Linked DNA regions of Diceros bicornis minor. The protein of the gene in region 1 interacts with the protein of each later gene in a pairwise test. Links are inferred from orthologs where the notes say so. Each region holds a gene or a part of one and is shown on either strand. Other genes may lie near its edges.

Evidence for each region.
Region 2: the proteins of PPP3CA (region 1) and AKAP5 interact in binary tests that used the Homo sapiens proteins (3 or more experiments, as listed by UniProt). The link is inferred for Diceros bicornis minor from reciprocal best matches to the Homo sapiens genes PPP3CA and AKAP5.

The regions. Positions count from the first base shown.
Region 1 is NC_080747.1:83,915,170-83,918,914, reverse strand, and holds the start of PPP3CA (protein phosphatase 3 catalytic subunit alpha), read left to right. Parts: upstream 1-1,323; 5' UTR 1,324-1,873; coding exon 1,874-1,931; intron 1,932-3,745. UniProt on the Homo sapiens protein: Calcium-dependent, calmodulin-stimulated protein phosphatase which plays an essential role in the transduction of intracellular Ca(2+)-mediated signals. Many of the substrates contain a PxIxIT motif and/or a LxVP motif.
Region 2 is NC_080763.1:13,546,512-13,550,256, reverse strand, and holds the start of AKAP5 (A-kinase anchor protein 5), read right to left. Parts: upstream 2,329-3,745; 5' UTR 2,286-2,328; intron 1-2,285. UniProt on the Homo sapiens protein: Multivalent scaffold protein that anchors the cAMP-dependent protein kinase/PKA to cytoskeletal and/or organelle-associated proteins, targeting the signal carried by cAMP to specific intracellular effectors.

The sequences.
Region 1 (3,745 bases):
ACCCGCTCCTCATTCTGCAGCGCGGCAGGCAGGTCAGAAAGGAGATTTGGGCCACTGTCACTCTCTGGCCTCCCGCGCCTCGAATTCTCTCTTTTGGTCTCCTTCCAACGGGAGGGAGTGAGGATCCACCTTGGGCTTCAAGGTCCTGCAGGCATCGGGAGCACCAAGTGGGTGTCGGGTGATTGGAAGCAGTGGGGAAGGGAGATGTGGTGTCACCAGTCCCGACCACTGGCAGCGCGCGCGCGTGAACAGGGAAAAGGCGCCGGTCTCCCGTGTTTCTCCCGCCTCTCATTTCTCCCTAGACACTGCCAGGGCTGTCCCGGGTGACTCAGAGTTGCCCGGGGTCGCGTGGATGCCCGTCCCCATCCTCCCTGGATAGCCTGCTTCCGCGTCCCACAGCGCCCCGCACACCCGCCACGTCCCCGGCCCGCGGCGCTCGGGGGCGGCCCCCTACCCGGAAGGTGTGGGTGCACGGGTGGGAAACATTAACCACCACCACACCGCCCACAAAAAAGCCCCCAAAGCAAAAACCGCTGTACACCCATGGCAGGCGGGGCCCGGCGCCAAGGTGAGCTGTTCGTTCGCCGCCGAGGCGGCGATTCCCCCGGACAGCTGCGGCAGCGACAGCAGCTGCGCGGCCGCCAGCTCGGCCCTCTTCCTTCCTCCGCCCTCTCCGGCCGCCGCACCCCCACCTCTTCCCCTCTCCCTGCCTCCTCCCTTCTTGCCCTCTCGCGGGCCACGCACACAGCCGGGACACCCTCGGCACTCGGCTGCTCACACTGCGGCTTAGCCTGGCCGACCTGGCACCGTGGCCACGGCGGCTCGGGGAGCGTGCGGGGCGCAGGGGCGGCAGCCCAGCGGGCTGGGGTGGAGCCCCTCTCCTCCCAGCCGCGACCCCCTGCCCACGCTGCTCCCCTAATCCCGGCCTCGCAGCCACACGAGCACCTGAGCGGGGACCGGGCGGCGGAGGCGCAGGCCCGCCGGCCTGGCCTCGGAGAAAACAGCGGGGGCGGGGCGGCCAGGAGGAGGGGCGGGGCGCGCGGGAGGCAGTGAGTGACGCGCGCGCCAGCCAACCAGCGCCCGCCGCTCCGACGTGGGGCGGGAGCGGGTGGGCTCCGCGGGGAGGAGGCAGGGGCCCGGGCGCGGGAGGCGGGGGCCGGCGGGAGGAAGGGGAGGAGGCGGAGGCGGGCGAGGCGGCGGCGGCGGTGGCGGCGGCGGCGGAGGGCAGGCTGCGCCGGGACTGTCTGCCGAGCTCCGCGGCGGTGCCTGTGAGTGCAGGAGCGCGGGAGGCAGAGGGGAGCGCGGCGAGCGCGGCGCGGGACGTCTCCGGCGGCGCGGACAGCGGCGCTGGGTGTGGGGAAGCAGCGGCAGCAGCAGCGGCGGCCGCCTTTCCGCCGCCGGGGACGCCGAGGCGCGGCTGGTGGCACTGACATCGCGGCCCTGCCTCTCCTCCCTCGCCCCCGGCCCTCCCCATGTGATCGGCTTTAATCCCGGCAGTGTGCGCGCGTGGGGCTCCATTCCGCGGTGCCCGGTCTCCGTGCCAGGGTGGGTGCTCGGTGTGCGCTTCTCCTCCCCATCCCCCTTCCCCCAAGAATAAAAGAAGAACCGAGAGGCGTGCTCAGAAAATAAATAAATAACCAGCACACACGCGCAGCCCGGAGCGGAGTCGGCGGGGCTGGCGGCGGAGGAGGAGTGAGGCGGCGGCGGCGCGGGGACGCGCGGAGAGGCAGCAACTTTGAAGCCAGCTCAGAGCGCGGAGCTCCGGCCGAGCGGCGTGCAGCGCGGCGGCGGCGGCGTTGAGTGTCCCGCCGGTCCGGTCGGGGTGTGCAGTCGGACGGACGAGCAGCGCGTCGCTGTCCCCCGGCGGCTGGAGATGTCCGAGCCCAAGGCAATTGATCCCAAGTTGTCGACGACCGACAGGGTGGTGAAAGGTAAGCGGCGCGCCGCGGCCGCCGGGTGCACCGGGTGCCGCAGGCTCCTGGGCGGCTCGCTGCCCCTCCCCCGCCCGGGTTCTCCTGCTCCAGCCGCCGACCTTCTAGGATATTGTGCAACCCTGAAACCCCTTCCCCCACGCCTCCCACCCTGCCCACTTGGGGCATTTTTATTGACGGGGGCGTCAGTTGGCAAATGGCTGAGCCGCGGGCAGGCGGCGGCGGGGGTGGCGGTGGCGGGAGGGGGCGCCCGGGGGGTGGTTGCTGGCAGGGTGTAGCTGCTGTGACAGAAATAGGAAGTGGGTGGCTGCTCGCAGCCTTGCATGGGATCGGGTTTATGGTTTTCTTTTGCAGAGGGAGGGGTGATTTATGGCTGAAAAAAAATTAATGTGGCATTTTTATGTGGCCGTGGCTTTCCACCGACTGCCTCGCTCGGGCACGGTTCTCTCGGCGCCCCATTGCAGCAGTTCCCTCGGCGGCGCCCCCTCCGCCTCGCCCTGCCCTGGAAGGGCCTGCACAGGACTCGCGAGAGGGCGGGAGAGCGTGGGGGAGCCGGGCGCTCCCTGGGGCGCGGGGCCGGGGCGGCGAGGGGGCGCGCGGGGCGGGGAGCCTCCCGGGGCCCGCCGCCCCCGCCCCGGGATTCCCCCGCAGGCCTGAGACCGACGCGGGAGGCAGTTCCCCCCGCCGCCTCCCCCGCCGGCCTGTCACGCTCTTGAATGGTCCCGGCTGGAGCACGCCTCCCGGCGGTAGCCTCGCCTCCTCCGGGCCTCCGGCACCCCCTCGTTAACGGGCTGTTTGATTCCTAATACTGGCTCTTCTCCCCTGCCCCGGATCACATACCCTTGGCAGAGATGGCTCTGGGATTTCTGGCGAAGAGAAGCCGGGGGCCTGGGGTGAGGAAGGGGACAGGCAGTGGTCTCCTGCTCCCTTGCACGGGGGACTCCGCAGTCGTCTCGTCTTCCCTGTTGGGTGGGGGAGGAAGCATCCTACGAATCCTGGAAGGATGAGACAACAGAGCAGATCAGCCAGGATTAAGTAGCGTCCCTCATTCCTGGGGTCAGGACGCGGAGCAAAGCAGGGATGGACATGGGCTAGGTGCGGAGCGGGCCTCTGAAATTGGAAACAGCGCTGGCTGGTGTAGAGGGAGAGAGAGAGTGTGTGTATGTGTTTATTGTATGTAGAACAGAGATAGTATCTGATGTGGCCAGAGATTGCAAGTAGAGTGCAAGGCAATAAAGTCATTTGCACCATGAGCACTTAGGTGAAGTAACCCCGCAGCCTAAAGACCAGGAATCTTCTTCTGGGGCTCAGAACTGTTCATCGGTTCCAGTCAGGTCTGCTCAGTTTTTAAAGTAATGCGTGTGTGTGTGTGTCTTGTGTGTGTTCGTGATGATGGGGGAAATTGTGTTCTCTTTTGTAAGAAAGAATAAAATATCTTCTTTTGTTTTGGTTGTATTAGAATCATTCCTGCTTCAGTGCAGTATTCATAGATCCATGAAAATAAGGAAGAAATATCTCTGCAAAAATGACTCAAAATAGGACTACAGATGCACAACTATTCTTTCTGCAGGCATGGATCCTCATGTAAACAGTGAATTCAGAGTCATTCAGAAAAACTATGTTTTGCATTAAGGGCTTCTGTTGACATTTTCAAAAATTAAGACTGCTGAAGTATCAGAGAATAACAAATATCTATCTAATGTGTGATGGTTAGGTGTAACCCCTGTCTGTATGTTAAGATCACCTATTTTCAAAACAACTAATGTAAAGCTTACAATTCAAATGACAGCAGTAATCACTCATATGTGTGCACA
Region 2 (3,745 bases), on another chromosome or scaffold:
TTAGTTGGGCTGTCTCTATAAATTGTTCATGACTCTGAATTGCAAGTTAGCAAACAAAAACCAAAAACAGTGAAGGGAGGGTGATAAGCAAGCTAGTGTAATTTTTATTACATGCAATAACGAATTCTGAAGCTGCAAAGGATCTTAGAGATTATTCAAGTCCAGCCCGATGGAGAAACTGAGCTCCAGAGTGGGCAGTTGGCCTGCCAAAAGCCAGTTAGATAAGGTCACAGCCAGAGTTAGAACTGAAGACTCTGACTCTCCAGTGTTCTTCCCATTATACCATAAGGCTTCTGTTCTAAAAACGTATGTTCCGCCAACGAGGTGCTACTTTTCATACATACTCTTGGGAAATTTAACATTACTGTCATTTTCCACTCTTAAATTTACTTGTATAATCTTGACATTTTTCCCCCAAGTATCTGCTGTTCAGACATTCTCCACAATGAGCACAGAGTTGCAGGTCAGTCAGAGTGAATGATAATAATAGCTGACATTTATTGAGCAACTCCTGTGTATTAGGAAGCGCTGAGCACTTTTACATACATCTCTATTCCTCCCCACAACACTCCAAAGTAAGTAGGTGGTGGTATCACCATCAACAGATGAAGACACTGGGGCTTGAGAGGTTAAGCAATGTGCCTGAGATTACACAGCTAGTAGGTAACAGAGCTCAGATTCAACCCAAGATTGCCTGTTTCTGAAGCCTGTGCTCTGAAACTGGGCTTTAAGAGTTTCGTCAGAAAAATGAATTGCTTGGCGATGCTAATCTGCACTAGATTCACTAGTCAAAAATTTATAAAATTGTTTAACAGCCATTTAACCATAACACAAGCCCATCAACTCATAATTAAACCAAGATTAGACTGAATTCTTGCTATTTGAAAATCGAGCTTTTGAAATTCTTTATATTTTATTTTCTTGGTTCTGGAAGTAATTTGAAAGCCAAATATACATTAATAGGCTATGCAATTGGCAAACTGATTAGTTATATATAAATATACAGGTATATTTTAAAATTAATCCACAGAATGGTATGACGGTACCAATGAACAGAGATATGAAGTGATCATCTACCAAAATTCCTAAGAATTTTAGTTGACGGATGTCCTAAAATAAGCAAAGAGACTCTTTCCTTGTACTGTTTTTATGTAAATCCTTCATTGTTGAAGGTTTATTTCAGTAGCTCTTGATTCTATGAACCACAGAAGGAACTGGAACTCTGAAAATCAGTTTATGATCTAAGTAAATATACCCTTAGGTTGGCTGCTACATACTCCATGCCTCTAACAGAAAGACAAAGTCATCCTAGAACAAGAATGGAGCTAAAATGCGAACATTTTACTGTGTCCCTCCTCATATAATGCTTCCATAAGCACCAGAACCACAGCTGGTTATAGCTCTCTTTGTCTTCTCACCTCTCTTGAGTTCTCAGTGCCTAAGAGTTTTTATTAACCAGAGGATGTAATTAGATCACGTTTAGGAACGTATCATTTGAAACTAACCTGGATTGCCCAAAGACAATAACTGTTTGTGAAGCTCACTTGAATGTCTACCACACTGTAGAAATAAAACAAATATTCAAACAAAAACCTAACTGAAATGGGGAAAATGCAGCCTGTAGACAATAAAACTTTGCAGAATGTTAGACTGCAAACGATTCGTCTTTAACCTGCAGGGATAGTTTTATCGCCTCAGTAATCTTAAACTCCCTGTTATCATTTCCTGAGAGAATCATAAGTCCAATGCCACAGAAAATGCCCCTTCCCTTTTTCCTTGAGCAGAGAAGCACAGAGGCAAAGCGCAACCCAGCGAATCTCTCCCAGAGCCAGATGTGGACGAAGCTTCCTCCTGGAGGAAGGCGTCTCTCCTGGCTCGGTGCGCCTCGTGGCAGGAGCCAGCGCGCAGCATCAAGTACTCAAAACGGAAAGTGCCAGGGGCGTGGAGCAGGTAACCCAGCTTCAATCTATCTGCACAATTATAATGGCCAGGAACCCAAAATCACATTTCCCCCAAAAAAGGGTAAAGAAGGAAAAAGGCTACCGGCAACCCATGCTTCTAGGACGGGCTGTAACCCGAAGAGGGTAGGTGGGCAGAGCTGAGCAGGGTCGCGCTGGCTGAGATGCCTGGACTGACGGCCTTCCCGGTTCTTACCTCGGCCATCTCGGGGGGCCCGGGTTCCCAGTGTCCAGTGGATCTCCCGCCCTCTCCACCGCCCAGGCGGTCAGCGGACCGGACAGTGGCCCGCACCCTCTTCTCCCGCAATCTCCTCGCCCTCCACTTACCGAGGGCGCCGGGGTCCCTGTCCGACCCCGCTGCCGAGGTCGGGGGGGCGCTCGCGGGGCCAGGCGCCCAGGGAGCCGGGAAGTCACGGTCGCAGCCGGAGCAAGGAGCCCTCTGCAGAGGGACCGCAGCCCCGCGGCGCCCCCTCCCCAGAGCGCGGGGACCGACAGGCGGCGGCACCAATGCGCGCGGAGCGGGCGGGCGCGGGGCGGGGCCAGGCCGGGGGCGGAGGGGCGCAGAGGGATTGGAGGCCACCTGCCAGCCGCGTGCCCAGCCGCGCGGGAGCAGACCTTTGCGCCCCTAGCCTGGGCGCGAATCCTGCGGCGCGACCTCATCCGGGCCAGGGCAGGGGACCACCGAGAGAGAGCCGGCAGATGGGGAGGCGACCAGGGTAGTTAGCCTCGCATTTTCTGAGACGCAAAGTAGCACTGCCGTTATAACCCCCCCGCCCCCGAATATTTAAAGACACAGCAGAAAGCACATTTTAAAAGTAGGATTCAAAACCGTGCAGAGTGAAGTCTCGTTTATTTGGAGAGAAAATTAAATATATGAATTGAAACAGAAAAAAACAAAACTTTCCCAGGTGTGCGTTTGGGTGTAATGAGGTTACCATGGTTCATTGCCAAACAGGCTCTCAGAGGCCCGAGACTCAGACCCTTGTCTCCCTAGTCTAGAGGGCAGGTAGCGATGATGCGACCTGTGTGCGGGCGAGGTCAGAAGGGCACAGGAACCCAGCCCCACCCATCTTTTATACCTTATATATTTCCAAAAATAAGTTAAGGCAGCTTACGAGTTACCCGTGTTTCCCTTCAGGATATTCCTAGATGCCTACTTAACCTTGTCCCTCTCAATTGAGCGAGGGTCGCCAACAGGAGATGGCTTTCCTCAAAGGGCACGCGTGACATCTCCTCTCCTGCCTGACTGGTTAGGTCGTATATTTTCATGCATTTTCTGAGTCTTGATCTAAACAAGTTGCTGGCCATAGTGGAAAGCATCACAAGCATTTATCTGTGCACATAAAGCATTACCATATCCCCCAGGAAAGGTGCTGCTGTGATTGCTTAGGGTGACTGTCCTTGGGTCTCCCATTACCTACAAGGGCATTCCTTGGAGCTGCAGCTGTGAGGCCCTGCAAGATGCACAGTTCTTGCCTCCCCCTCTGGCCTCTCCCAGGCACACCACCCAGATGAAGGTGGAGGGAAGGACTACTGAAAAGCAGCTGTACTTCTCTCCTTTCTTCCACAGGATCATGGTCTTTGGGAGCGTAAATCTTGGTTATCCATTTTTGGATGTTTTCCCAGGAATATATTTTACCTTTCTAAGATTCTATAGCTTCCACTGAGACTTATTAAGGAAAGAACTATTAGGACACAATAGCAAAGCTGAATCTAAGTCGTCTGGATTTTAAATTTACCGATAAAATTTAGAGACCAGAGCTGTAAAACAGGAAAATCTATAAGCA